Lepisosteus oculatus: one gene and its partners. The protein of the gene in region 4 interacts with the protein of the main gene of each other region in a biochemical or structural test. Links are inferred from orthologs where the notes say so. Each region holds a gene or a part of one and is shown on either strand. Other genes may lie near its edges.

Evidence for each region.
Region 1: the proteins of protein PML (region 4) and eukaryotic translation initiation factor 4E-1A form a complex in vitro, tested with the Homo sapiens proteins (4 studies listed by BioGRID and IntAct). The link is inferred for Lepisosteus oculatus from reciprocal best matches to the Homo sapiens genes PML and EIF4E.
Region 2: of the proteins of protein PML (region 4) and rnf4, one has a biochemical effect on the other in vitro, tested with the Homo sapiens proteins (3 studies listed by BioGRID, with this or other methods). The link is inferred for Lepisosteus oculatus from reciprocal best matches to the Homo sapiens genes PML and RNF4.
Region 3: the proteins of protein PML (region 4) and chek2 form a complex in vitro, tested with the Homo sapiens proteins (2 studies listed by BioGRID, with this or other methods). The link is inferred for Lepisosteus oculatus from reciprocal best matches to the Homo sapiens genes PML and CHEK2.

Annotation. Positions count from the first base shown.
Region 1 is NC_090696.1:61,844,689-61,851,812, forward strand, and holds the start of eukaryotic translation initiation factor 4E-1A, read right to left. Parts: upstream 3,148-7,124; 5' UTR 3,060-3,147; coding exon 3,042-3,059; intron 109-3,041; coding exon 5-108; intron 1-4. UniProt on the Homo sapiens protein: Acts in the cytoplasm to initiate and regulate protein synthesis and is required in the nucleus for export of a subset of mRNAs from the nucleus to the cytoplasm which promotes processes such as RNA capping, processing and splicing.
Region 2 is NC_090696.1:6,256,891-6,264,031, forward strand, and holds the start of rnf4 (E3 ubiquitin-protein ligase RNF4), read right to left. Parts: upstream 3,050-7,141; 5' UTR 2,813-3,049; intron 1-2,812. UniProt on the Homo sapiens protein: E3 ubiquitin-protein ligase which binds polysumoylated chains covalently attached to proteins and mediates 'Lys-6'-, 'Lys-11'-, 'Lys-48'- and 'Lys-63'-linked polyubiquitination of those substrates and their subsequent targeting to the proteasome for degradation.
Region 3 is NC_090717.1:5,418,611-5,426,791, reverse strand, and holds the start of chek2 (serine/threonine-protein kinase Chk2), read right to left. Parts: upstream 3,049-8,181; 5' UTR 2,950-3,048; exon of another isoform or gene 2,923-2,949; intron 2,915-2,922; exon of another isoform or gene 2,038-2,914; intron 2,024-2,037; exon of another isoform or gene 1,696-2,023; 5' UTR 1,672-1,695; coding exon 1,386-1,671; intron 1,035-1,385; coding exon 910-1,034; intron 671-909; coding exon 538-670; intron 169-537; coding exon 78-168; intron 1-77. Other genes in the region: iron-sulfur cluster co-chaperone protein HscB, read left to right, coding at 3,355-3,764, 4,334-4,430, 6,681-6,770, 7,669-7,813. UniProt on the Homo sapiens protein: Serine/threonine-protein kinase which is required for checkpoint-mediated cell cycle arrest, activation of DNA repair and apoptosis in response to the presence of DNA double-strand breaks.
Region 4 is NC_090700.1:59,364,637-59,371,952, forward strand, and holds the start of protein PML, read left to right. Parts: upstream 1-4,275; 5' UTR 4,276-4,334; intron 4,335-5,053; exon of another isoform or gene 5,054-5,143; 5' UTR 5,144-5,239; intron 5,240-6,240; 5' UTR 6,241-6,244; coding exon 6,245-6,732; intron 6,733-7,316. Other genes in the region: protein PML-like, read left to right, coding at 446-564, 2,048-2,151, 2,567-3,132.

The DNA of each region.
Region 1 (7,124 bases), on a different chromosome or scaffold from region 4:
TCACCTGTTCTGTAGTGGATGCTTAATGTAGTGTTCGGGACTCACAACCTCCTGGCCAGTGGCTTCAGTTTTTTCTTCTTCAGAATTTGGGGGATTTGAAGTGGATTCCTAGAAAAAAGAGTTTTACCATCACAATTATTTTGAAGAAAAATACACTTTTTATTAAATCCAAAGAAAGGTCACAGGAAAATGCAGCGGCAAAAAGAGATTCACTCCAAACATAAGATGATCACAAAATGCTGTTTTTCTAAATTTAGATAAAGGAGCTGAAAACCGGTAATCGGACTTGCTTAATATTGCTTTTTTTTTTTTAAGCGCTGACAGTAGTGTAAGACAAATATATTCAATTGCTGAAATAAAAACTCATCAAGATATCTGGAGTAAATCCTGGTAATCACCGGGTAATGACATGGTAATGGAAAAGAGCAACATTTCTCACAGAAAAAAAAATGAATCACAACCAAAACATCTTAGAAGGTAAAATAAAAAAACAAACATATCACATTTCTTTGATTCATACAATATAACTGCATAGTAGCATCAACATTAACTCTACAGGCCTAGTTAATCTATAACAAGATTGTGGAAAAAATTGATAAGAGCACTATAGCAACTGGGAGGTCCTGAACAACACTTTTTTTCCCCACCAAAGAATGTTATGTGTCATACTTAAAATAGAGTCTTGATTGAGCTTTAGCTAATATGATAACACTATGTGCAACAAGCTTACTAGGCCTAACTGGAGACAAAGCTTCAAACTTTCCGAAAGACATGAAAAAACACAATTGTAGCCAATATAACTCTGAAACTGTAATGTCAATGATTGGGGAAAAAATGATTTTCCTTCTATCCAAAAAGGCTTTAAATACTAAACCACCATATACTAATATTTGACACTGAATAATAAAATAAAACATGTAAAAAAACTGTACACTATATATAAACTGTACACAACATTATATTACATTGTAGTTCCGGTGGGTAGCTGCGTCAGCATGCGTAGGCTCCACGGCCGAAACGTTGTGTTCTCTTTCTTCTTTTATTCAGCATGGAATAAACCTATTACTTATTATATTACATTTACAGTCTTCTAACAAGGGCAATTTCTAATATTATTTGCGAAAGGTGGCACATTATTGCCCATGCCTATCTATAAAAACACTAGGACCATGAAACAGAATATACAGAAGCATGACTACAATTTCTGCTATCATATCACAAGAACATAGTGGAACTCACACAAACTAGCAGGAATAAGCTGACACTGGAGAGCTTTGGCCAGCTACACTGCATACTTAAAGAGTACTTAAATTGTCTTATGTATTTTATTTGTGCTTGCTTAATACTGCTTTTTTTATGTTGTTGGCTTTTACAAATTGTTCCTGACTGAAAATAATTGCTCAATAGCGTGTGGGAGTATTTTCTTTTTCCATTCCAGCTTCACGACTGTAGAAGCCAAGAAAAAAAAGTCCCATGTTACTGTTCCATTTTCATATGGTAGCAAGAAGTTACAAGTCAAAGTAAGAGAATCTACCTAACCTAGCGCCTAGACAATGACACAGTGCCCTTTCTTATTATTTTCAGTGCCAAGCTAATTAATCCAAGTCTAAACGTATAAAAAAGGTGAAGTCATAAGCTACCCCTCTGCACTGGGAACCTATACGATCCGTCATTGACTTCACATGCAGGAGGCGCTCATACCAAAAACAGCTGTTGAATACCTTAAACGTGGCTTAAATCTATACAAAGTAAAAAAAAAGGGGGAAAAAAAGTGAATGGTTCAAACCAATAAGAAACGGGAGTTAAATCCTTATTCAATTCCAAAGGTTACAAAATTCCTTTGGCACCCATAACGTCACTGCTCAAGGAACGCCTGGGTTTTGTTTTTTGGACAACACACGACAGGAGCATTCTCCGTAATGTACAGTTGGAGGAAAACACATGGAAAATGTATCATCCATTCACATTCCAGCTACAGGAGCCCGGGGCTGAGGGATTTCTTCGCATCTGAACGCAAAACAATAACACGCTGGCGAGTTGCAGCATCTGCAGTTTCAAGAGCAGCGGAAGGGATCGAACAAGCCAGGCGAACCTGTTTGCTTTGGCTGGAAAACTGGTGAATTACAACGGACCCAACAGTCACTCTTTAAATCAAAACATCTGTTATGCACTCTTTCGGGCAAAACAAATGAGCTACAGGTCTTATGATCAGTTAACTGCTTTACTAGTAACGGTTGGGGGGGGACCTTACCGCATACAACTAACCACCTTAATCCCTCGAGGGTTCAATACCCAATTTGCTCGCAATTACCTCGACACGAAGGTATCTAAATCAGACAAGTTAAAGAGCGCACAGCGAGATGAATGGAAAGGCGCTTGACACCCAACAGTAATGTTACGGTTACGGTAATGAGGCACATAAAACTGTCAACGTCAAACGTCAACATCGGGCGGTTCAGCAAACACGGGGAGTTAGTCTCTAAAGCCAAAAGCTTCTCTCAAGTAACCGTCAGAGCCGAGTGAAAGTTCAAGATGCCCTGCACTAGTCATCGGAGGGAATCGCAGCCCAAGAGTATGCTGTGTGTGTGTGTAGGGTTATTTCCAGTTTCAAACTGTCAGCTGTACAGCGCCACGGACATATTACGTGTCCCGTGTTTTCTTTTTTTCCGTGTTTCGAGGAAATGCGATGCACTTGACAGGCGACGTGCGATGCCTGTGGACGAGCAGGCCCCGACTACACTCCACGGGTGATCCCTGATCTGCTGTGACTCACACGCATCTCATGTTGCTGCCGCTGTCTCCTCCTACAACCGCTGAGTGCTCATGGCTCAAGCTCACCCTACATGCACGTAAATACATACACACATTGCCCGCAAATACTCGCGCCATTATCTCATCGAAAACCGACCCACAGGCTCGCCGACGACCCCGCTACTAAACCCGTGCGAAACCCTCTCACCGAACCAGTAGAAAAATGTGAACTAACGCCCTGAGAACTCGGTCAACTAAAACAAATGTTTCAGAGCAATACACTCACTCACCGGTTCCGCGGTCGCCATCTTATATCAATCTGATTCACAGGCTTCTGGTGGGAACATAAAAGCCGATTGGCTTCAGCCGTCCAACGTGACGCAACCGAGTTGCCAATGGCTGTTGCGCATGCTCCTATGTCAACGGGACGAGGGGGGTTGTGGGGTCTGTAGTTTCGCTGGAACGTGGGCGATACGGATAAAGTTTTTTCTAGTTCACTGTCCTCTGCTTGACGTTTTAAAAAATAGTAAAAAAATAAATAAAAAAAACACGCAGGGTTTAAACATATACATGTGATTCTTGGGACATTGATAATTTACCACAATGCACATACCACTGATGCACTATTGTTATTGCTAGAATTGCTTCTTTTTCAGAGACCAAACCTGACATACTTATCAGTCAGCTAATGTGATAGTACCACCAGATCTTTGCCATGTGATATTTCTAGCAAATAATGAACACCGGGGCTTGTTAATTGCTACTATCCAAACATAACAACCCACTGGCCAGGTATGAATTCCAGTGACAGTTGCTATTGATTTTGTATAAACTTTGGGCAGCACAGTGGCTCAGTGGTTAGCATTTCTGCCTTGTATCACTGGGACCCTGATTTCAATTCCTTGTCTGGGGTGTTATGCAATATGTTAATAGTAATGAAGATTCCTTACACTTATATAGCGCTTTTCTGGACATCCTACTCAAAGCACTTTACAGATAATGGGGACTCCCCTCCACCACCAATGTGCAGCACCCACTCAGATGTTCTCCCCGTGTTCATGTGGGTTTCCTCTGGGTGCTCTGGTTTCCTCCAACAGTACAAAAAACATACTGGTAAGCTAATTGGCTTCCGTAAAAAAACTGGCCCTGGTACATGTGCTTGTGTCTGTGTGTCCTGTGATGGACTGGTGTCCATCTGGCTCCAGCTTCCCTGTGACCCTGAATTGGAAGAAGAGATTAAAAAATGGATAAAATATATAAAACAAATTTTAGTAAAACAAGTCAATTGCCAAATGAAACATAACTCCACCAAGCACAAGAACAGTTTGTGTTGGCAACTTAAATTTAACATGAACCTTCTTTAAAAAAAAGAATGTTGTCATACCCAGATATAGTCCTATAAAAGAATATATGAACATAACAGATAGCTAAGTGAATTTTCCTAACATTGAACTTGTCATTGACAAAGACACTACAAAGGACCAATATTGCATATAAAGTTAAGGAGATGACATTTAGAACTAGATTTGAGAATCATGGTACAGTATCACAGGGTACGGAGATAGGATTCTACAGGACAGCCAATAGAACTTGAACTTGAACTTGAACTTTATTGCCATATGTAACCGGTGCTGGTACAATGGAATTCTTACTTACAGAAAGTCTCTCGATTGTAAAACAAGTGTAAAAAACAAAACAAAGTGCAAACAGTGCATCAAGACAATATACAAACAAACAATAGACAATGTGCAAGTAAACATGCAGACAGTTTGAATGTAAACAATACAGACGTGTAAACAATGACTGGAGATGTACAATAAATAAATTACAATGAGGTAGATGGTGATGGTGTAGGTGTGGTCCGAGGGGGATGGCTAAATGTGTTCGCCAGTCTCACTGCTTGTGGATAGAAGCTATTGAAGAATCTAGTGGTAAGTGTCCGTATGCTCATATCTCTTGCCTGAGGGCAGTGGGGTGAAGAGCTCATGCCCAGGGTGGTGACTGTCCTCTGTGATGGTCAGAATTCTACCACGGCAGCGGTCCTCATAGAGCTGCAGCGGTCCTCATAGAGCTTTGAAGGTTAAGTTCTACGGTTAAGGACAGAGTGGTGGCACTGTGGCTAAGGATCTGCACCTGTGGCTGACAGGCTACTGGTTCACATCCTGTGGCTGGCAGTGGGAATCCTACCCCATTTGGCCCCTGAGCAAGGCCCTTAACCCCAACTGCTCCAGGGGTGCTGTATAAATGGCTGACCCTGTGTTCTGACCCCAAACTTCTCTCTCCCCACCTGTGTGTCTCATGGAGAGCAAGTTATCTCATCTTATGAGCCATTTGTGACTGAGATTCCCCAAGCAGCAGCACACGACTGGTTGAGCATTGCTGAGGGTATAGTGTTTTTAGCTGGCTGAGACTCTACTGGCTCCCTTGGGCACTTGCAGGCATGTGGTGCAGTCTGTAAGAGATGCCGCTCTCCTCCCATAAACCTCTGGTTCTGGTCAGAGGTGCCTGTGTTATGTTAAAAGGTGTGTGGGTTAGAGAAGTCTTCCTATTTATCCCTTGTGAGCAGTCATTGGGATCCGAGTTGCTGGACTATTAACTATTTATGTTCTCTGCCAATACTTAACTCTGAAATAATAGCCAAGATTTACAAAAACCAAAGAACAATGGTTAAAAAGAGAGAGGAAGCCACTGAGCTCATTTCAGACCTTGAGAAGCTGCACGTTAAATAACAGTGTATTAAGATGATGACAAAGGTTTGAACAACATCATTATTTGCTAAAGTTTACAAACTTATCCTTGCCATTAGAAATACCAATTAATGAAAGAGAGAATACAGACCTACACTGATAATGATACTACAAATACATTGTGATGACATTAAACTAAGTGTATCTTATCCACTCTACTGCTATTGTAACAGTAACAGGCCCCAGACAGTGCTAAATAAGGGTTTTGACTACATCTAAACTGTGTGTCAATGCCTATTTACAAATTCCCATGTGGCATATTTATAACAACACTTTTTTAGTTTGATCTTCAAAACTTTCCCTTACCACAAATGATAGCTCAATAGTGCATGGAGCATGTATCATTAGTCTGCAGAGAAAAACAAATGTATCAGTTTTTATTATACAGAGTTAAAAAGCAAAGTAATAAAGCCAAAATATTGATGAAGTTGACTCTATAGGAACATCTGCTTGTTACTATTTTTTATGTTGCATGGCAAAAAAGAAAGATTAATGACAAAAATGAGCAATTCTCTTTATGACAATTTTCAATAAAACATTCTATCATCCTTTACAATTGGGACAGTTTATTAACTCCAGTAATGGAAGTAAAGTCTACAAATAACCTGATAAATTTCCATTTTATTAGCATCTAGAACTGAATGCATAGTTGTATATTACTTACTGTACATTGATTGCTATATATACACAGTATATACTGAAGGCTAGCAAGATGACCACCCAAAACAATAATCCCAAAATCAGAACATCATATTAAAGGTTATAAACGAGAGGAGGTTATTTGGCTTATCTAGCTCATTTTGTAGTTAGTAGTTAATAAATCCAAAAATCACATCCAGCAGTTTCTTAATTGAAGGCAGGATATCAGCTTCAATAACATTTTGATTACTTGTTCCCTACAAGTGCCGTCCTCCATACAGTTAGTCCATAAAATCACGCAAGCAAGTAAGAAGTGCCTGCTTTTGAAAACAAAATAACATTGCTAAGCATTACATTTAATTAAACCAGTTATTATATACTGTATCTCCATCAGCCTTTGCCAGTCTTCAGCTAGATAAATTCCTGTCCAAAATTAAAACAGTATTTAAAATACATACCTCATTGATATCATAAATTTAGTTAACAAAATGGGAATGTTTGTATTCTGCAGATGTTTTCTCTCTGCTTTAAGACTATCACTATTGTGATATATATGTATATATTTGGTAACACTTTAAATACATGCTGCTTTAATGATTTAGAATTCTTGCTACATCGTTTTGAAGAAGGTTTCAGACATTCTTTGATGGATCAAAAGGCGCTACACAGAAAACAATCATTAACCATGCATCAAAAGTTTCTAGATGAAAGGGGAGATTGGGCCGGCAAGGTTGACGCTGGCGCCGCTGAGAACAACCGACACAGTGACTGTTGGTTTTTGTCTTTTTCTAATTTCTGACACTTCCCTCTTCTGCAATTATGAAAACCCCCACTGTAAATGATGAATGAAAGCTCAAGGAAAACAGCCCTGCTCTTAGGAAAGTCAGGCAGTGTTGTAGGTGGCCGTGCGCCTCCCTGCTCCTCCCAACTCGAGGTCCTCAGTGACTCTGTCTCAGCCCCTCCTCTCCATTCGCAACTGGAGTGTCA
Region 2 (7,141 bases), on a different chromosome or scaffold from region 4:
ATGGAAAATGAAAACAACTGCAAGCTGGAAAACATTAAAAAGAAGTGGAGGCTGGATTTTAACAGAGTAAGCCAATGTCTGAAAAGGTTCAAGCAGAAGTATCTGTACAAACTGAGGCAGGGTCAGGCATAAGCCAAGCGAGAAACAAAAGGTGAAGAAAACAGCTGGAGGAGATTTACAGCTTGTGTACATGAGAATAACCCTTATAATAATACTGCACACACTGGAACCGGATAAAGGCGTCTGTTATGGAAATATTAATGCCGTTCCATCCTTAGGTATTCCTCTCTCGACACACAAGCTCAACTATAAGCAAGGGTCTGCGAGCCCACAGAGTGCATGAAGACCTCAAAATGCAGCAGGCTCAATCAGTACATGCAGACATCACGCATGTTTTTCTCTGCTCCACTAACTCCACTCTTATAACAATACAGTGCTATGCATTTCTTTAGCAGGTGTTTATTTACAGTATTGAGTACCAATGCCATCTGAAAGAAAAGCTTGGTGAAAAAAGGCAGAGACTGGTCTTACATCTTGTCCATAAATGCGGATTGACCGGACAAATTAACAAGAGCGAAGAGTTGGGCACTAATAATGAATCAATGAGTCGGCTTCAGATACAGATAGCAGATAAATGAAAACACCAAAGTCATCAAGTGAGTGGACAGAGTCTATCAGCCTCTGGAACTCTGCAGGAGAGATGCAGCACCATTCTTCCAGGAGAAAGTAAATCAAATCATGCTTAATTGATGGAGGTGGAAAACACATCAATGAATTAGGCATCCCAAAGCATACTATTTCATTTGGGCAAACTAAGCTACATTTATGGCTTTATTTCTAGGTCTTTTGAAAACCCCATCCTAATATATTGAATATATTGGACAAATTAACTTAGTAAGTATAACGACCGATCATTATTGCAAGCAAAGGGCAAGAAGACAGTTCGGAGTTGAGGTACCAAACCATAACATATCTTCATGGATTTGTGGTTCATGGGGACTTTAAAGAACATAACCCCCAACAACTAGCAAGAATTTATCATTATAATATTACAATCCAGCAATTTGACAAACTAAAACCCCAAAAGGTAAAAGACACCACCTACAGAACTACCAGGCAGTTTCCTCAAATATTTCAGTCGTTCACGGTTTTTACCTCCTATCTTGTGAGACACTGGGGAACACAGTCTGCAGAAGCGGTTAACAGCACAACGTGCTTTACCGAGCTTTAGCAAGTATTTCCTGACTGACTCACCTCATGCAACGATGAGTACAACTAAAGACCAAGATGCCCATAACTGCCTTCCACCAGCACACCCCCTTAACCACCCTTAAACCTGAACGTGTCACAGCTCACAGGTTCCTGAGCAGACACTAGGATGGGAGAATGTTTTTAAAGAAAATCGCGTTGCTGCCGAAGTGGTGGTGATGAACTAGTCCATCATACCAACCTGGAAAAAGCAAAGCAAGGAAGAAACCCTACTACAGTCATGGTGGGTGCTGTGGTTTAAAAAACACCACCTACTGTAAACCAACGGATCCCGATCCTGGAGGTGCGCACGCCTCCTGGTTGTCATTCCAGCGGAGGTTAATCACCTTGCTGACACCTTAACAGGACTAACAAGCCGCTCCACTGGCACAATCTCAGGTTTCTTTTCCTTCTCATAAGTTAGGAATTTTACTTAGGAAATGCAGTAGTTAAAGGGCAGCTGTCAAACTGAAAGCAATGAAACCATTCAAACTACTCCTATTACTATTACTCCCATTGAGAGTTGAATCAGGTGAGCGCCCCCTGCTGGCCCCACTAACACCTCTTCCAGCAGCAACCTCTGCTCTCCTCCTCACTGAGAGCTGATGTGTGGTGAGTGTACTGGTGCACTATGGCATCATCCAGGTGGGGCTGCACATTGGTGGTGGAGGGGATCCCCATGACCTGTAAAGCGCTTTGAGTGGAGTGTCCAGAAAAGCGCTATATAAGTGTAAGGAACTATTATTATTAATTAACCTTAGTTTTTCCCCTGGAGTTCTCTCATCCAGGTACTGGCCAGGCTCACACCTGCTGAGCTTCAGTGGGCTGCCAGCTGGGAGCTGCAGGGTGATATGCTGCTGGCGCTAACAAGAGACGTTCAGCTAACGTGGAAGTTAAGTCGCAATACAAGAGGCATTAACACCTGTGCCAACACCACATTTGAAAACAGACTATGTAATCTGACTAGTCCAAACCGAAAGAATACCGCTTTATTGATATAAAGCTCCTAACTAACGCATATCTCCCTTAAATACAGATCTTGTATCTTTTATTAGACAAAATAGTTAGATTATACACGGGATTCGAAAACAAATATGGCATCTATATGACTAATGCCCACTGAGGCCTTCGATCCGGTTGGCAGCAATTCGCAGAGATTACCAAAGCTCTTCAACTTCTGTTTAACAGCAGCAGCAATCCTCTTTTGTTAAGGACCGATAAAGACACAAATCATAGCTCGAGAAATGATCAAAATGGTCGAGAAAATGAATGGGTGACAACAGCCAAGTGCTTTATACCATCGTGGATTAAATAATTAGATGTTGATGCTTTGTAGAGGAGTTTCTGAAATAGGTGTTGGTACACCAACTCCGCTGTACTGTTACATAACCTCCAACATGAAATGGTGCTCAAAATGCTTTTAACGGCATTATAACAATTATTTTAGCTGTAAATACTATCCATATTACCATATTACCCATATTAGCACTAAAGCCAGGGCTATGGTGTGTGGTAAAATTAACAAAAGCCGATTAAAAAAACTAGCCAAATAACCGAAACCTACCACGAAAATACTCGGACAGCAGCAGTCAGGAAGAAATCAGGGTTATCGACAGCTTTACTGCAACGCTTCTATCTGGCGAAGCGCACCTTAAATATGAAAGAAATGAAACAATAAGAATTACTACGAATGCACTGAGGAAAAATAAACCAAAATCCCCTTCAATTTCTTTTCTCCACTCCGATCATCCAGCTCCTCCTCGAGTCGGAAGTAACCTCGGCAGCAGATCCGTTAACCCAGGCGGCGTTGTGATTGGTCAGACAGAGAGTAACGAGCCAATCGGTAGGCGGGAGCTTTGTTCAAGGGAATATGACGTACATCCGGGCGCACTCTGGTATTTGTAGTTTTCACAACAGGAAATGAGTGACGCGGTGTAGTTCCTTAAGGCTTCTTAATGACGTCCGCTGGAGTAGGTAAATTGGAAAAATAGCAGCGAGGAAAACTTTCACCTGAGTGCGTTTTCGGTTATATGGTTAAAACATCTGTACGGACCGAACACCTGCTTTGAACTCGCAAAAGCTTAGGACACTAACGAGCATGGTACGAGGGAAAGGAAATCAAGGAGGAGTATAACTGGAAAGACTGACTTCGCTTGACTGGGTTACGAGATAATGGTAACGAATAGTAAAAACATCCGTTAGAATGTATAGCCTTTTGTAAAATGACGCAGAAAGGCGTACATAAGCAGCCGCGGCTGTTTTAGATTTTTTTATTATTGTTCGGGTGACGATAGACGTCGCCCCCCTGAAACCCAGATGGTGTAGAACTCTCCCACAGCAGGCAGCTGGGGTTCACCACTGTCATGGGGGGGCGCAGTGTCCCCTTCCAGTAGCCATGGTGGAATCATCGCAGGGCAGAGCTGCACCCAGTTAAGGTAATTGGGGTCTCTGTGCCATGTGTGTCTGCCCTGTGATGGACTGGCACTATGTGCTAGGTGTAGTCCTGTTCCACGTGCTTCCTGAAGGAACTCTGGGATGTCTGGAGTAATAGAGGCAGTGACAATGGGAATAACTCAAGGGGCAGCACAGTGGCGCTGGGGCTCCGTGATCGATTCCTGGAGTGCCATCCGCAAGGCGTTTGCATTGTAACGCTTACGGCCGACAGGTACTGTGTAAGAGCCGGCTTACCAGAGCAGGTGACGTCACCGCCCTTCCCTGTGATAGCAGGACTACAGCTACTGGGCTGGGGAGAGATCTCTCTTTGGCTCACCGGGCTGGGTCCCTGTTGAGTGACGCGGAAGTCCTGGGTTAGAGCCCGCGATGGTGGGGGGCCGACCTAATGCAGCAAGGGCGCCCCCCTGAACCCCTGTAGCGTTACAGCATGTTCTTCTCGTGTTCGTGTGGATTTCCTCTGGAAGCTCTGGTTCCCTCCCCACCGTATGAAGCTGGACTGGTAGGTGAACTGGCTTCTAGAAAAACTGGCCCTGGTGTGAGTGTGTGGGGGCGTTTGCCCTGCGGTGGACTGGCGACCCATTCAGGATGTACCCTGCCTTGTGCCCATTGCTTGCTGGGATAGGCTCCAGCTGCCCCGTGACTCTGGATTGGACAAGGCGGCTAGAAAATGGATGGAATAAATCATACTACAACCGTTCCTGACCTCGCAAACCTACCGGGAGAATAAAATCACCTTCTGGAAGATTAATGCTCCTTTCTCCAAGGTGCAGCTTCTTTGGATCTGAGGAAGCCACTGCCACAGCTGAAGTGTTCACGAGAAGTGTCTGCTTTCAGGGCAGTGGACAGAGGGAAGATTTCTAGTTTTGTTTCCAGTGAAAAGGAATAATGTCTTTGTTCGTGTATGAGGTAGGGTTTTTGTTTTGTTGCTCAGACTGTAGTTGAAATAAAGCCAGGAACCCACCAAGACTGTAACAGAACAGCAGGGTTTGGTGTGGAGTTCATGTGTAAAGATCCTCTCAGCCATGCTACCACAAGCTGAAATCTCCCGATGCAGAAAGATCTTACATGGTGACACGGTGACTCAGGGCATTAAAAAGCACGAGCACAAGCAATTAAATTACAAATGTCCGATTGCTTATTTTAAACCCGCAGATTACACATGCCAGTGGCTGAGAATAAGTAGGAACAGTCCATTGGAAACACCTGCAGAGGCCAGTGCTGCTCCTGCACAGACGAGTGATGGAAAAGCTGTGTGACTGCTGTGCACCCCGGCCCGTTGTGTCATACGCAGCCTGTGTCATACACCTCCCTCTGAGCTCGAGGGTCCCAGGTCCGGTTCTGGGCTGGTTCCATGCGGAGTTCCCCATGTCCTTCAGCACTTTCTCTGGGTGCTCCTTTTCCCCCAGAGTAATTGGCAACTCTGAATAGCCCCCCCATGGGCATGCCCTATAATAGACTGGTGTTCCCTCGAGGGTGTATCCCACGTTACACCCAGTTTCAGCAGGGTTAGACTCCACCTCAAAGCCTAAAGCTGGTACTGGAAATTAACACATGGATGGATTATACGGTGCATTTCTTAGTTTGAATGGGCTATGTAACAAGGTGAATATTGTTTTTGCACCCATTATCCGGTATAAAGCTCTGAATCAGCCTTTAGCTAGGACCCCCTTGTTAGAGGAGGAAGTTGAGATTTAATTAACTCCACACATTCTACACCACACACAAACACGCTACAGCAGGGTTTGTGACTCCTGAACCTGCTGCACAGCTTTCTACTGTCCAGTCCTTATCCTGTTCCATCCCAGAGGGACTTGACTCAGAGTGCGCCAGTCCAATTCTGCAGCTTCATGAGAAAATGTCAACATTTGTTAAGGGTACAGGGCCCATTTCACAGTTTGCTTTGTAACAATATGTTGCTTTGTTATAACAATATATTGCTTTGCTTTGTTTTACACTGTTACCTTTTTATTATTATAGGCCAATGTCTGATGTCTACTGCCTTGCCTGTGTGAGGTTATGGAAACAGCAATTGGAACTAAAGTACAGGATCAGCTATATGGAAATGACATCCTAGGGAATAGTTCACATGGATTAAGAAAAGGTGGATCTTGCTTAACCAACTCGTTAGAGTTCTTTGAAGAAGCGACAATGAACTCTCACAGAGCATACACCATGGGGTATTTCGATTTTCAGAAGGATCCTGATAAGGTTTCTCATAAAATATTTATTGTTGAATTACAGGTAATAGGATTCAGGGAAACATCTGTGATTGGATGGAGAATTTGTTCATATAGAAGAGAGTATAAAGATAAACAGTGAATGCTCAAACTGAGGCGGTGTACCACAGGGACCTGTGCTAGTGTCACTGATCTTCCCCATTTATACCAATGATCCAGATACTGCTGTGTGTAGTGAATTAGTCAGCTTCGCAGAGAGTACCACAAGGGAATGATTAGTAAACACTAATCTGTAAAGACTGGGCAAACACCTGACAGATGATATTTAATGAAGAATTGTGCAGGGTTTTATATGCAAGTAGTCACACCTGAAGAAGGGTCCACGGCTGAAACGTTGTGTTTTCTTATTTCTCTTTTCAGCATAGAATAAACCTATTGTTCCTAGTAAAATCATATACTATTAAAACAAAGCACATACTATTAATAAAAAACTTGAAACACTGAGCTATAAGATGCTACAAAAAAAGATTTAGGTGTTTATGTTGACACATCTTTTACATATAGACCACGTGGTGAAGCAATTTTAAAAAGGCAAACAAAATATAAGGACATATATTAAAAGGGTTGAATTTAAATCAAAGGACATTGTGTTAAGAAAGTTCAAGTAGGTGGAGGCGTTGGCATGTGTAGGCTGCAAAGGAACAAGTAAGAGGTTTATTCCAGCTGAAAAGAGAAGAGAGGAAACACAATGTTTTGGTTTAACCCATGGAGCCTACATACCCGAAGAAGGCTCCCCAGCTGAAACATTGTGTTTCCTTTCTGCTCTTTTCAGCAGGGAATAAACCTTTACTGGTTCCTTATGTGAAAATTGTACATTTCTATCATGTGTAGACTAAAATCACAGACACTATTCTAAATGAGGTCTTACTAGTACAAAGACGTTGCTGCTCTGTAATCCAGAGAAAAGAGGCCAGGTACATTCCAGGGCTTGAGACCTGCACGTTGTTACAAGTATTCAAAATCCTCAAAGGCACTGAAAGGGTCAATCCAGAAGACACCTTCGGAGCGAATAGTGAAACACGAGTGGAATCAATCCTGGAAGTGCATTTAAAAACCAAGAACATGAGGCACTTCTTAACAGAAAGGGTTGTGGGAGTGTGGAGGAGGCTGTCCAGCCACGTTGTTGAAGCCCATAATTACTAACTAGTGAATGGGCTAGATCTGTCGACTGGCCGCCTCTTGTTTCTACAGTACCGATACTT
Region 3 (8,181 bases), on a different chromosome or scaffold from region 4:
CGTTAGAAAAAAAAATCCCATCTCCCTGCCAACACCCCCTTTAGCGAGGCAACACACTTAACGACTGCTCCACTTACGATCCAATTTTTCTTGATATCAAGTATTTGTCCTTGAATTCCTTTGGGAGGTTTGACTGTTCATCAACGGTGAGGTCAATAAACACAAAAACTATAGAGAAAAAAGTAAAATATTTCATTTTAGGTACTGGGAAGTAAGAAAAAGAGTAAGACTAATGTAACATATCACCAGCTTCCCTTATACAAAATATATTTAATTAAACATTACAGGATACCTTTGGGATTCCTACAAAAAGCTATGCATGGATATGAGAACTTTAGAAATGACATAGATTATAAAGCAACAGTCTCTAGAATGGGTTAAATACGTCAGAAGAAGGAATCCTGAGCTACATGGGCAGTACAATTTAATGCAAGTTAGTTCACACACTGATGTGTAGATGTCTTAAAAACTCCTTTTCAAACACCCCACCAAAAAACAAACAAACTTAGTAACAAAAATTACACAGAAAAATTCTACCTTTGTTCTGGGGGACAGAAAGCGCCAGTTCAGCATTATTTGCCAGTGGTAACTTTTTGCCCTGTCCCATATACTGTCCGTCAAGATAGGTCCCATTCCCACTGTGGTCTTCAATATACGGAATTCCGCTTTCCTGCACAGAGAAAAGTTGGAGTGGGGAAGGGAGGGGAAGGAGGTGTTAAAAATGTGTCAGTTTCCTACAAAACTGTGACCCAATTAATCACAGCATCAGACAACTATTTCATGAATTATTTCATAATTGTCTCATAAAGAGACATATTGGGATAACAAAAGCATTAAATCTTCAAAAGGAATTGTTCCGAGTGGATACCGGAACAGTTGACCAAGGACGATAACAGAAGTACCTCCTACCCTGAATATCCTGAAGTGCTTCTTACTGTAACTTGCGTACTTTTCTGACTTTCTGATTAAGGCATTATTAAAACTGTAGTCACATCGTCTGTCTCTCCCAAACCAGTATTCATCCTTTATGCAGTCTGAAAGAAAAAGGCCAGGTTTGCCACGTTTAACATTAAACAATTAATGTTCGCAACTGCTTAAGATCACAACACACAACACAAAGAAATAATTAGTAAATCTTTCTTTATACTTCAAAGTGGCCATTTTACAATATCAGTACAAACTTTCACCTGAACACACCACTTAATAAAATGTTCGAGAACACTGAAGAAATGAACTATTTAGGTAAAGTGGCGCATTCACTTTCAGATTCATAATCAGGAGATATAACTTCTTTCTACAAGCTTCCGAAAGCCAGCGATGGCTAAATGGCACAGAACTGTCCTTTGGGACCTAGTCCAGACAGGCAGGAGAGAGCGAGCCCTCACTGTGCATTGCGAAGCCCTTCTCCATGGGCAGCAGGCGGCCCCAGGGCTGTGGGGGGGGCTCCTCCGGGTCTTCGGCCTCCTCAGGAATGGACGAGAGGTCCCGCACGGGGATGGTGTCGACGGAGCTCAGCGTGCCTGAGCCCGAAGACGAGGACGACTGGCTGGAAGACTGAGGCGCCGACGAAGAACTGGAGCTGCTCTGGGACTGGGACTGGGATTGAGACTGGGACTGGGATTGAGACTGGGACTGAGGCTGGGTGTCACTGGGGCCAGGCTCCTCAGACATGGTTAAGCTCCCTGGTTACCTTTACTGAAAGCATCAAGCACAACAGAGGCACCAGAACAGTAGTTAGTGGTCTAGCTTTCCTCTGCACACCCTTGTTTTTCCTTCAGCACAAAGCTGCTTCCTGTTGTTAACCTCTGATGCTACTTCTCATGTGGAAACAAAATCATGATTCTGCTTCCTGGCTCAGAAGAACTGGTATGTTTTTATGTTTATAGATGCAAACACAACACGTGTACCCAGGTAAGGCCAAACACTTTGACAACCACGGGCAAAACTGCATATGCTTTCGTGAACATGAGCAAATGGGGTTGGATAATCAAGCACATCAATAATGGTTGAATTTAAAATGGTAAGAAAATCACCTACCTTGGACAGGGTACTTTCGCACGTTTATGATAAAATCCCTGAGAGACAGTGGATTTTTCTTGTTTTTGAACTTTTAATAAATTATCTTGTCATGAATGTAACTTCCAATTCAAATTAACGCTGCACTTAAACACTAAACATAAAAAAAATCACAGTATTAAAAAACATAAAACGCTATATCCGAGGTGCCTTCTTCAAAGCATTCGGCACAATGCTAGTGCAGATTCCTACAAATCGGTGCAGTTCTGCACAACTTCCCGGTCTCTGGCGGCCGCTCTCTGATGTCCCGCACCCATTTAGCACATATCTGCAAATTCTCCGCAGCAAAAGAGTGGTTGTGGCCGCGCACGGTAATGCAAAGATCAAGAGTGGCTTGTAACAAAATGTTATTGTACATCTACAGTATATAGTCCTTTCATCCACAAAATCTTGAATTGCCCGAGGTAAAAACTAAATAAAGTGTTTTCATTAAAAGTTGTCATTCGTTTTGGTGGGGGTCATTATTTTTAAAAAAAATATTTCTGGCAAAGTGCCTGGCATCCCATAGTCTGTAGTCCTTGCATTACAAGGAAGCAAACTTGCACCCGTCCGCAATAACAATAACAAGAGAGCCGCCTTCTTCCCGGTGCCACATGGTAACATAGGCCGAAATAATTAAGGAAACACGTCTAAGATATGAGACACATTTCTTAACACGACTAAAGAAATCAGAAACTGTAGCTAAATCTATGCAATGAGCTCAGATGACGTACACATTAAAAGAAAAAGTAAAAAAACTGCGCCCATGACTCCCGGTCAATAAAACTAATACAGTAGCGTAAACTTAAAGAAAATACAGAAGCATGCTGTTTTCATTTTGCATGATTCATACGAGTTAGGTCATACCTGAGTTCAACAAAATCAGCTACTCACATGCCCAAAATTCCCCGATTATTCCTCAATCACAGGTAGTACATTCAACAACGCCGAAACGTTTTACAAAATCAACCAATTACAGAAGCCAACCAATCGGGGAAACTCTGGGGCAGACTGGGAAATGTAGTTCAGCCTCTGCCTTGAGACCTAATTTGGGAAATATGTGACTTAAACTTGAGGTTCGCTGACTTCCATAATATTAAACGAACCCACAAATTTAAACTAATGCATGTAAATACCATAGTATTAATACTGCATATTTACTTTTAAACAATTTTATGTTTTATATATCCAACCGGAAATAATTCTGATGCTTCCTGTTGTCTTCCCTACCCACCTCCTCCTCTTACGAGAGGTGAAGGCAGTACCGGCATGCATGGATATTGACTTAAAGGAAAAACAATGCTGATATTAAACAGGTTACGATTTGCCAGCTCACTCCGTAGAGTTTGTGGCCTAGGGCTCTATGTTGGAAATGATCAGTCTGTCTTAAAACATCTACCTTCCACGTCTGGCTGTGAAGCTTTCGTAACGGTGTTCACCTTGAATGGCTCGGGCAGCCGCCGTTCTTCTGGAGTCTGTTCAAAAACATTGCATTTTTTGGAGCACTTCAAATCAAATCAGTTCCCAGCCACTTCGCTCTTGAAACGTCGATGCGGTATGATTTCCAGGACTTTTTGCACGGTTTTGAAAAAACTACACTGTTGGAAATGCGAGGCACGACTGCAGACGCCTCCTGCGTTCTTCTGCCCGGCTTGCCTTGTCATCCAGCCACTTGATGAAAACATCAACTTCTTCGACATCATGGACTGGTGAGAAGGAATCTGGTCTGTCTGGCACTCTAAGTAGTTTGTCCACTTGAGCAGTTTCGATCTCAGGTGTCTGCGTTGGCTGACTGAAATTGTTTTCAGCGAGATCCCTCTGATATGCTAAAGTTACACATGGTTTTGTAACCTTAATGGGTTGCCATATATTTATTAAACGTTAACTGCATAAAACAGCTTTGCATTTCTTAAAACGTTTTAATTCTTAGAGAGGTCTTATAAATATTGCTATTAAGAATCCTAGTTCAGGTGGGTAACTGCGTCAGCATGCGCAGGCTGCAAAGGAACAAGTAATAGGTTTATTCCATGCTGAAAAGAGAAGAGAGACAACACAACGTTTTGGCTGTGGAGCCTTCTTCACGTGTGAGGCTCCGTGGCCGAAACGTTGTGTTGTCTTTCTTCTCTTTTCAGCATGGAATAAACTAATAATACTTGTTCCATTAAGAATCCTGTACATGCTAGTTGACTTTTTACATCTGCAGCATTTATTGCTCGACTATCATCAGATGTTGGTGTTAGTGCACCTGGTGTTAATAAACCTTTATGCACTGTTTTAGTGAAATATCCTTTGCTTTGGATGTTCGGAAGTTACAGAAAAGGTACATGCATCTTCAGCGTTCTCTTCACCCTGATAATTTCAGCCAGAAAACGCAGGTAAGCAATGCTTCCAGGTGTATGGCACGATTTCTGCAATTAGTTCTTAAACGGGCAAAACGTTGTTGTGTCACTGTGTAGACTTGTACTTCCACTGTCCACAGCTTGTTTCTGTTCAGCATCTGTACAAGTCCAATGAATAGAATCAAAACCCAGTGAACTATGGACTGGTGTTTTTTTTTGTCAATCAAATATAATTTTGCATTTCTGGTATAGTCTGTAAGTGAAGGTTCACCAGCCTCCATAGCGTGCGTGCACCTGCCAACTCTAATGTCTCCAGACATTTAAAAAAATAATCGTGTAGGCATACTCATGCAATGTTCAAACTACAAAAAAGTCAGTCTCGAATAGCAGTGGAATTACATGGCAGAAATGGCAGGAGTAACACTTAACTCCTGCAAATAGACTGAGTGTATCTGAGTACTTTGTAGTCTGGTCTGAGGATTTTGGAATTTCACATTGCAATGCAGTAGTGTTGGATATGGAGACTATTCATGTCTAAAAATAAAGACTTTGCTTTAAAAATAAATGGCTTGTCTGATTCCATTTAACTTAAGTGATATGATGTGAAATGTGTTTGGCTTGCAGAAGAGTCTATTTGATACAATATGGTGCATATTAAAGACAAGGACCATCAGTGCTGGGGATTAGCATGGTAGGGTATTAAACTTTCTCCCAAAGCACTTTCTGTTACTCTGCACCACTTTTAAAGAATTATCAGGAAAAAGTGAAAATTTGGCTTGTAATGCTATTTCAAGCCCCCAGGAAAATCTGCCTGCTGCTGATTGTTAACCATATTTAACCATATGGAGCGGCACTGACTAATTAATGCTTTTGGATATTGAGGTCCTAGGAGCAGACTGACTCTGGAGATGATCCAGTCTACAGATCAGTTTTAAATGAGGGGCTTGACTGACTGTTGGTGTTTTGTGTAGCATGATGTATGGCTGTAACATAGAAATCGGCCACTTTTAATTCTCATTGATTCCCATTGGCTGCATAAGCCTGGTATGCCCCTCTGTTGCTGAGCCCTTTTACCTTCAACTTGTCTTCCAAACATGAGATGGTTTTTCAGTTATTTCCTTTTACATGTTTCATACACACCAGCTTCTGTTGTTGGATTCAAGACATTCAACTATTCCAAGCATGACAAGACCTTTAAAAAATCAAATTTTCTTACACTCAGGACCTGGTAAGTGTAAAATTAGCCTATTCAGATGCATTCATAAAATGGCAAGCAGATCTGAATGCCAAGGTTTGGCTGTAGGTTTACAAAAGTACTGCATAATCCCACATTGACGTTAATGTAGTTGTTTCATAACTGGACTGAGTTGCATCTAAACAGTAGGCAATACACATGTACAGATCTGGTCCCCAATGTTGTGTTAATTTGTTTGAATATAATAGACCTTTTTTTTTTTTAACGCTCAAGGCACTTTGAAGCACTGCTTAGGTAATCATAACTTTTTTTGCACCTAATTTCATGTTATTATTTATGATGTAATTGATAAATGACCAGCTGTGTTGTAGCTTTTACCACGGATCAGCATAAAGCGGTTTACAGCTGCTTCTGTAATACTTTGTATACTTATTGTGAAGGTTTTGAAAATTTGGTCCAGGAAAATAGTAGCTTGCTATGGTACCTTTGTCTAAATAGTTTATTGATCTCCAGTATTAGCTTCAACAACATGGCTTGGTACCAAACCTCCACAAAAATTTGTGTAAAAAGCCTCTCCTGTTTTCAGCCATAAATATACTTTTTCATGAGCAGCTTGTAGTTGTGCCCTTTTGTACTTATTTTACTCTTGAGCATAAAGTAATCTTCTGGGCTGACCTTGTCAGCACCTTTCAGGTTTGTGAATACGTTTTTCATGCTTGGCCTCAAGACTGAAGCTGTTTAGTCCCAGATATATGTGGACCTTCTGTTTTTTCTACATTATTTTTTTAATGAAAATGAGAGGCATTTCATATAAAGAGTTATCAAGTGCTTTTTAACCTTTGGTACGTTCAAGCACATTCTGCCTGTCAGAACTAGTAACTTTCCTTTCACAAATAATTTATTATATCACATCATCAGATCATGTTAAGTATGCTACATTGAACACTGACGGAAAGGGAAAAAAATTACTTTTGGGGAAAATAAAGTCTTATGATTGCCCTGTGAGATTTCTGGAACATGTGCTGTAATAAATAGCATGCAGGGTCTTTATTGATTACTTCCTGGAAGTTATTTTGTGATGTCTCTTACAGCAGGAGCAGGAATACTCTGAAAGTCAGTCTGCCCTGGTTAACAGAGCATACAGGACTTTACTTAAGCCTCTCAGTCGTGGGCTTTATATGGTAAGTATCAGTCCTGTCAAATTAGCAGTGACAATGATACAGTACATAGATAAGTTCAAAATATTGCCATTACTTTTTGCATACAGTGAGAGAACTGACGGATGAAAACCAGCTATTGAACTAAGCCAACTCCTTGACAGGTGTTAACTTAGAATATTACAATCTTCAGTGTTTTCCTTTTTAACATTTGTGACATTAATGCAGTAATAAATGTTGCGTAATAATTTACACAAGCCTGGGAATGTATACAGGTGTTGATGTTTCAGCATTTATACATTTCAGTCTAACCTATAAAAGGGAGTATTAAATGAATCAATTAGCATTAATGGGAAAATTATTGCATATATTTTTAAATGCAAGTGTTAAATGTTAAAATCTATTTATACCATGTATATATGTTGAAAATGAATGATGTCAGTTCTCTAATGTTTTCCAGTCATCTAGCAGTTTCACAAAACATCAAGTTTGTAGAAGCTTCTGGAAATCACTTGTTACTAAAGTAATCCCTTCCACAAGTCAAAGGTGGGGTCACAAAATACTGATTGCTGGGGTTTGACTACAATTAAACATAATGCAACTATTTTTATATGTTCTTTGTAAGATAGAGGTCTGAAAGTCATACAATAGTTTGTTTTTCTCAAGAACTATATAAAATGTACACCTAAATTTTCATACAAAATCAGCTGTTACATTTTTTTTTGAGGCTATGAATAAATTTGGATGTGAATACATACAGTATCTTAGCACACTTGGCTTGATTTTACCAGCATAAATAAAGACATTGGACTTTCAGTAATTTTCATTCAGAATACCACTTCCGTTTTTCACTAGTTTAAAGATTACCTGCATTCATCAATTTGAGTATGTGGGGAAAAAAAAAGTCTTCATTTCTCCTTAGCTGGAACTTGAAGGGATGAAACTGGAGGGAGACCCTGGTTGTGGGTTGAGCCTGGAGTTTCTCCAGGATATCCTGGAGATAAGTGAAAGACTGGCTGAAACACAAAGTCAAGAAGAAGCCAGTGACATCTGGCATTTCGTCAGAGGTAAAATTATGCGTCTTGGTGCTTTGTATTAGCTTTTAACACGAACTGTTAGTTTTTCTCTGAAATTTTAACTGAAGTGGTAGTTGTCTTTGAAAGGAACTATAGTTATAATACATTCTTCAATATTTTAAATAATTGTACTTCATAAACAGCAGAATTATCACCTCTGGCAGAGTCTTCCTTCTGCTCTAAGAAATATACATTATTTATAAAGTGCCAAAATGCATTACTTGAAGTAAATGCTCAAACAAGATAGAAAATTGACCCTGTGCATGAAGTATGGTGATATTTATTATCAGACAGTCAGATTATGTACATTTCATGATTATCTGTACTGGACATTACAAATAAACGCACAGCCTTTATAG
Region 4 (7,316 bases):
TGGATACATGATAGATTTGCCATAGAAATAGTATATAGTCTATATATAATTATTCTTATATCAGTATTTTATAAATAAAATTTATATTTTATAATAATATAAATTTATTCCCTGCTGAAAAAAAGAAGAAAGAAAACACAACGTTTCGGCCGTGGAGCCTTCATCAGCCTTCCTCTCCACGACCGAAACGTTGTGTTTTCTTTCTTCTTTTTTTCAGCAGGGAATAAACCTGTTACTTGTTCCTTTGCAGCCTACGCATGCTGAAGCAGCTACCCACCTGAACTTATAATATAAATGGTATATTATCTGTTCCTGCTTAGTGCAGATGTCTCCAAATGGAATAGTTTTGTGGAATGTATTTGTGAATTCCTTACTTATTGTGACATGAGCGGTATGCTTTTTGCATGGTCTTAAGTGTGTAAACCTTTTCCAGTTAAAATAGATAATGCATTTACTTGTATACTGTATAGTGCTTCTCATCCCAGAGAGTCCCACGGCGCTTTACAGAGCACTCACCTGGGTGATGCACGGCTGCCATTGTGTGCCTGCAGCCCTACTACACAGGTGAAGAAGTAAGAAACTGCTTCATTAAGAGGGAATCTTAGGGAGGCCACGTTTTTAAATCCAAGAATGAAATTTAGACCATACCCCAGGGATAAGACCCCTGCTGTTTCCAGAAGTAGCATGGGATATTTATTGACCAGGTAGTCAGGGCCTCGAGCGAATATCTCCCCCAAAGGACAATTCCTCCTAATGCACAGCAACTCTGATCACTGGACTAGGTGTCAGCTAGTAAATTCAGATCCAGTGAGAAGAGTGCCTCCTACTGGTCCACCAACGCCACACCAGTACTGACTATGCCCTGCTCTTCCTTAGCTTCTGAGATTAGGCCACAAGGTGACAACACTGCTTCCAGTTTTATGTTTATAGGGTTATCGTCTTACATGGATTAAAGGAGAAGCTAGGGTCTAAAGCATAGTGTGTGGTCTTTATTGTACAGAATGAGAGGGGAATGCCACAGCTCAAATGGAAGCAAAACAGCAGACTGCTGAAATATGTGAAGCTGTGGCTCAGAACAGACTGATTGATCCCCAGCAGCATCACCAAGCTTCTGTAAATGTGTTTTCATGAGTGGTGGAAGCGAAATGATTTGCTGGGGGGAGAGGCTGTCGGAAATCAGCATCCGAAAATTATTAAATCTAACTTTGAGGTTGAGAACCTGTTGAGATTGAATTTACAATGAGAAAGAAAGTATATAAGGAAATCTACCTTAAATTGATTGTGTTGATCGGATATTGTCAAAGAAAATTTTTTGCAAATGGAAGTATCATGTCAAGATGAAGTGATTGTTATTTAGAAATGTCTTTTTTCGTAACAAATGTAAAGTGTACACAGCATTATGATGATGGTGGATTCGGAGGCAGATGGTTATGCAGTTTGAAGGTACTGTATGTCAGGTGTATGTCAAGGCTCAGTCCATCTGCTCAGGACCATTCTGAAAGGAGAACACAAGGACAGCCTCTCGGGGGAAAAGGCTGGAATTACAGTTTACAAGTCTGGAACTGATTTTCTCCTTCCACTTTAGTCTTTTGGTTACATCAAGAAAGCTGCAGTTTGTCTCAAGATGTTTCTATTGTAACACACATTTTCTTTGTACTTTCATTAGTAAATACAGTTCTTCTAGGGTTTTTAAATAGGGTATTTCATAATTCAGCTGTGGATCAGCTGTGTTCTTCTATTTTTTACATTTCTCAGGCCAAAGTACACATAAACACTTTGTGGAACATACCCTTTTGTAAATGGAGACATTTTATATCTAATTTAATTATAATATATGTAATTGTTTCTTGCTTGGAACAATGTTATTGTCAAGTGAAACAGCGGTCAGCACAATTTCAGTATAAAACCTAATGCCTCATCTTCTGTTCTAGAATTTACAGATTAGGTATCTTCAATGTTTTTAATATATATTTCAACACTTTGTGTGTTGCTGTCCATACGTACAGTATAATGGTGAAAAATCTGAATCATTTTAATTCTTTTACAGAATTAAAAGACCAATGGAATGTAATGCATTCGCAGTGGCCTCTTCTGCCTCATGTAATCTTCACCGCAGTCTTGTTTTCTTCGATCTCGAAACCACTGGACTTGGTAATTATATATTACATTTATATAGTATCTTTCTTCAGATAATTAAGTTTAAATCTATTGTAAACCCCTCACTGTGGAAAAGTATTCCTGTTGCAGATGTTTTAGCTGAGGTCAGTATGTGTCGTACTGCCAGTTTACAAACTGACAAGGATGTTGATGTACAGCATATAGTTATTACTAGTTGTTTATAATCCCCTTTTGTCATGTATGGGGAAGAGGGGAGTAGACTAACAATACGATTTATTTACAATGATTCTTCTGTGCATTTTCAGCAAGTTTGAGCTTTATTTTCTCTCTGACATTGTTTTCCATGAGTGGGGGGTAAAGGACTGATTGCAGATTGTGACACTACTTTTTGACTGCAGTCTTGGAGAACGGAGCAGTAACAACACATCAATTGTGCCTTTGCAAACAGGTCCAAGGTGTGATATCGTACAGTTGTCCGCTGTAAGTGGAGACCACACGTTTAATGTCTACATGGTTCCTCGGCGACCAATCCTTAGAGGGGCCTCAGTTGTCACCGGGTTCACTGTCAGGAGGCGACAGCTGTGGCTCCACAGCCAGGCCCTTCCAACCATCACTCACCGGGAGGCTTTGATATCCTTCGTGGCCTTCCTCCGCATGCTGAACCGCCCTTTTCTGGCAGGGCACAACATCAGGAGGTTTGACTGTCCTGTACTGCTCAAGGTGCTGGATGAGTTCCACCTGAGAGAGGACTTCCAGCAGGCCACCTCCGGCTTCGTGGACACCCTCCTCCTGGCCCGAGAGCTGTTCAGGCACAGCTCCATCCGGAGCTATCGCCAGGAGCACCTGGTGAGGGCCTGCCTCGGGACCTCCTACCAAGCGCACAATGCTCTGGAAGACGTCAAGGCTCTGCAGCGGCTCTTCCGCGCCTGGGCGCCCAGGTCAGAGCAGGTGGTCAGGCACACCTTCACTCTCTCACAGGTGGGAACTCGGAACTCTCGGTGGCCACTCATCTAAGGAAAAGTGATCTCCAAGCACGCTGCAAGAAAACTGGCTGCATGTGGAATTACTCTAGAAGTCTCACCTGCAGAGTCCCTCTAAGAGGCTCCAGAAGCTACTGGAGCCCCTGAAATAAGAGCTGTGGAAGGGCTGCTTTGGAGCCACAATTGGCAATATCACTGACTTCCTGGAACTTCAAAAGCAGCCTTAACCCAGCAGAGCTGTCTCTGAAACACGAACTGGCTTCAGCGCCAGTTGAGCCTCAGAGACTTGGTTCACAGGAATCTTGAGGCAAATAAAATTAACATTTGCGTTTATTAAATTAAAACCACTGAGAAGGAAAGACCTTTTGCTTCTCTACATACCAATGTTTAAGTTAACAGAATGGGCGTTTTGCTAGAGGCTGTTTTATTTCCACAGCAGTGTGATTTCTTGGACTTCAGAATCAAATGTGCCAAGTTCTAATAATTATGATCAAGGCAGAAAGAAAATTTATAAAAGACACTGCCTGTTTAGGAAAAGCATCTGTTATCTTTCATTTTATTGTTTTATTAAATATAAATAAAGTAATGTATTTTTTCAGGTCCACGTGATCTCTAAGGATTTAATAAAGTGTCATAATCTTTTGGTTTTTATTAGTTGTTTTAATTGGGTGTGTTTAATATTATGACGAGACAAAGGAAATATAATTTTACATGTAAAAAAAAATTGCATTGTGGCCATTCACATATTCTTCTATGTTAAACACCTATAAAATACAAGCGGAGCGGAGGCTCTGTGGCTCAGGATCTGCGCCTGTGGCTGGAAGGTTGCTGGTTCAAATCCCGCAGCCGACAGAGGAATCCTACTCCGTTGGGCCCCTGAGCAAGGCCCTTAACCCCCATTGCTCCAGGGGCGCTGTATAAATGGCTGACCCTGCGCTCTGAGTCCAAGCCTCTCTCTCCTTCTGTGTGCTGTGTCTCAAGGAGAGCAAGCTGGGTTATGCAAAAAGGCAAATTCCTAATGCAAGAAATTGTATATGGCTAATAAAGTGATCTTAATCTTAAATATTTCAAATTAGATTTCAAAATTTTGCTTTAGATCTGCTAAGCTAAGCAAATCGTTTCATAATAATGGCCAGTAGGGGGTGTTAACAGGCAAAATTATAGACATCGAGGAAGGAACCCCGTTTCTCCGCTGGAAAATGAGACTTGTTTGGAGAATAAGGATCCGTGCGTACTGTATGTTTGAAAACAATAATTCATACAACACAATACATTCTGAAGTATTGTTCTTTTAATCACAGCTGCAATCAGGTTTATATATGGCTTACAGTATGTTTGGCACATCTCATCGTCCGATTGCATTTAATTTCATGCACAGTACCCTTTCGTCAGACTAGAAGTGAAAGGGAGGTTAGCGGTACAGGCTGTTCATTTCCATTTCTGCTTCGCCACCTCCGTTTTCGTTTTCCTGCGCAGCTTTTAACCCTTTCCAGGGTGTGGTCTTTCACCACCACCATAAATCCTGAAACGGTCAATACAGCTGATATACTATTAATGCACAGAAAAACGCATAAAAGCTTTGTAACAAACACAAGGTAGCACCCGGCAGTAATGTGGCTGAAGGCAATCGGGGTTTTTAACAAGCATAATCTGAACGATCGATAATTATTGATTCATTTACCATTCTTATAAATTTATATCGTTTTGATATCTGTAAAATAATAAAACTGTCAAATATACTGTACTCTTCAATTAAATTTTAAATACAGCCGAAGTGTGAGACTTGAGTGGTCACAAAGGCAAGATTAGTATAAAAAGCAGTTCAGGATCTTGCTTGTTTTTGTCCATACTGTACCTCTGGGTTAGATTTTGGTCTTGTTGTGTAGAGATTAACGGTTATTTTTCTTTGTTCTCGTTTTTCTTTCATTGTAAAAGTGGTATGTCGTACTGCTAAGCAGTGATACGAACCGTGATATTCTGTAATAGAGGGAGGTAAATCCGGTATGTATTTTTTATACAAAGAATTGGCTCTTATTTTGAAAAAGCTTATAGACGCCTGCTACGGTGATGTCACTCCGCAGCAACTGGAATATGGAGGTGAAGAGACCACAGTGGACATCTTAACCCACCGATTTTATCCAGTAGGTATTTTTTTCTACACTTTTTCCAATTTTAAATACTATACTAGTTAACCTGGTGCAGCCTATGCTAAAGTTGTTCATATGCAAACCTGTGTATTATATGAATTTTGAACGTTCTCTGTAGTACAAACAAAACCAGGTCTGCAAAACAGTACTTTAAAAGTGAAATTTGGTGTTCACGGACCTTAGATGGAGCTGCCTTTGAATTTCCATAGAGGAAAATTAACTTTGCATTGATATGTCCTTAATTTGAGATCTACCCAATGCCAAGTGAGTGTTTTGTCCACATCATTTTACCAAATATTCCTCATTGATAAGGTATAAAGTGTTGATTCCACAACATGAATTGTGGCAAAATAATTTTGAAAGAGCATTGAATATCAGTTAGCAACACTGAATAGATATGGAATGTATGCCATATTCACAAATGGAAATAGGCACTTTTGACTCAGCACTGCATGGGTAGGGTGGATGTTACAGTTGGCCAAGGTTTTCTCAGCTTTTAGGAAGACAGTTTTCTGCAGCATATAGGATACCTTCAGACCTGGTGTGATGTCAGTGAGTGTTGCACTGCTCTGGCAATCTTTCTCTCCTGTCCAGCGCTCACATGTCAAACAGATGAAGTGCTGTAACAAGGGGCACGTCAGAGAATCCTGACTGCAGGGCCTCTTTCTCTGTGCCATACAGCAGACGTTGCCAAAAAATCAGGTCTTAAACAACAGGTGGTTTCAAACCGGGCACATGCATGACAAATATAATGGGCAGTTCCAATTTTTATATCTATAAAGTTAAGTCAACATCAGGAAGCAACACAGTGTAGATACTGAAAAAAATGTTAAGTACAAACTGAATCGGTCGAACTGTGATGTCGGAACAACGTTGCTTTTCCTGCTTGCAAATCCAACACACATTTTCGAACGGAATTGGAAAAGTGTTCTTGTGCCTTCCCTAATACACTCTGATGCAACTGGGTTATTTCTGGATTCTCCATCTTTTAACAGGACAATGGCTAATCAGGCAGGCACCCTATTACATGGAGAACAGTTCCTGCTGTGTGGAATCTGTACCAGGAACATCTCCTCTCCCAAGCTGTTGTCCTGTCTTCACACCTTTTGCGAGGAGTGTCTAACAAGGTCTGAGAAGTCTGATTCTGTCACCTGCCCTACCTGCCAGAAAGCCACAGAACTCCCCAAGGTGAAGAACAATGTGCTCTTCTCGGAGCTGAAGGCCAGGGTTGATACCTACAGACAGATTGTCCAAGCCAGCGTGCTTCCATGCTCTAGGTGCAGAGCTGGGGCAAGCTTCCTGTGCTTCGAGTGTGAGAAAATGCTGTGCCAGAGCTGTTTTGATGCCCATCAGATCTTCACAGAGAAGGAAGGACACCCAGTGGACAGCGTGGAGAACCTGAGGAGGATGGACTTCCCAGACTTCCTGGAAGCCACCCGCAAGAAGAGGCTCCCTTACTGTCCCAGCCACGAGAAGCAGATGATTAGGTTAGATCCGCTCCGACTTTTGGACTGGAATACAGCGTTGTGCCTTGGTGTTCCAATTTTAGACCTCTTGAGTTTGGTTCTAAAGATGTTCATAAGAAGCAGTCCACTATCGTGTTTCTAATCAGTCAGATATTACACTTGATGCGTAACAATTGTAACTGTAAACTAGAACCCTGTATCTTTTGGAGTAAGGGTTGGATAACAGAAGTTTGTGAGTGGTGATCTGGTTTCCTTTAACTTGAAGATTTACAGGATACAGGTTTTGTCTGTATTGTAGGTTTATTTTATTAACATCACTGTTAAATTATTTCCTACTTGAAACTTGTTTTCCACAAATTCAAGGTAATTTGACCAAAATCCCAGTTTTAATTCATGTTAATTTGATTTTCAGTAAGAGGGCACGTTTCTGATTTTCTTATCTGTGTGAATGAACTACAGTACAGTATATTACTGCCTGAATATCTGTTTTTAAAGAACCATGTGTTATCAGACCTGTTCTCTATTAATATGCCAAGGAAAAGCCTTTTGAGAGGTGTGAAAATAAGCTTGATACGGCAAATAACTCCCACATCGCCAGATACATG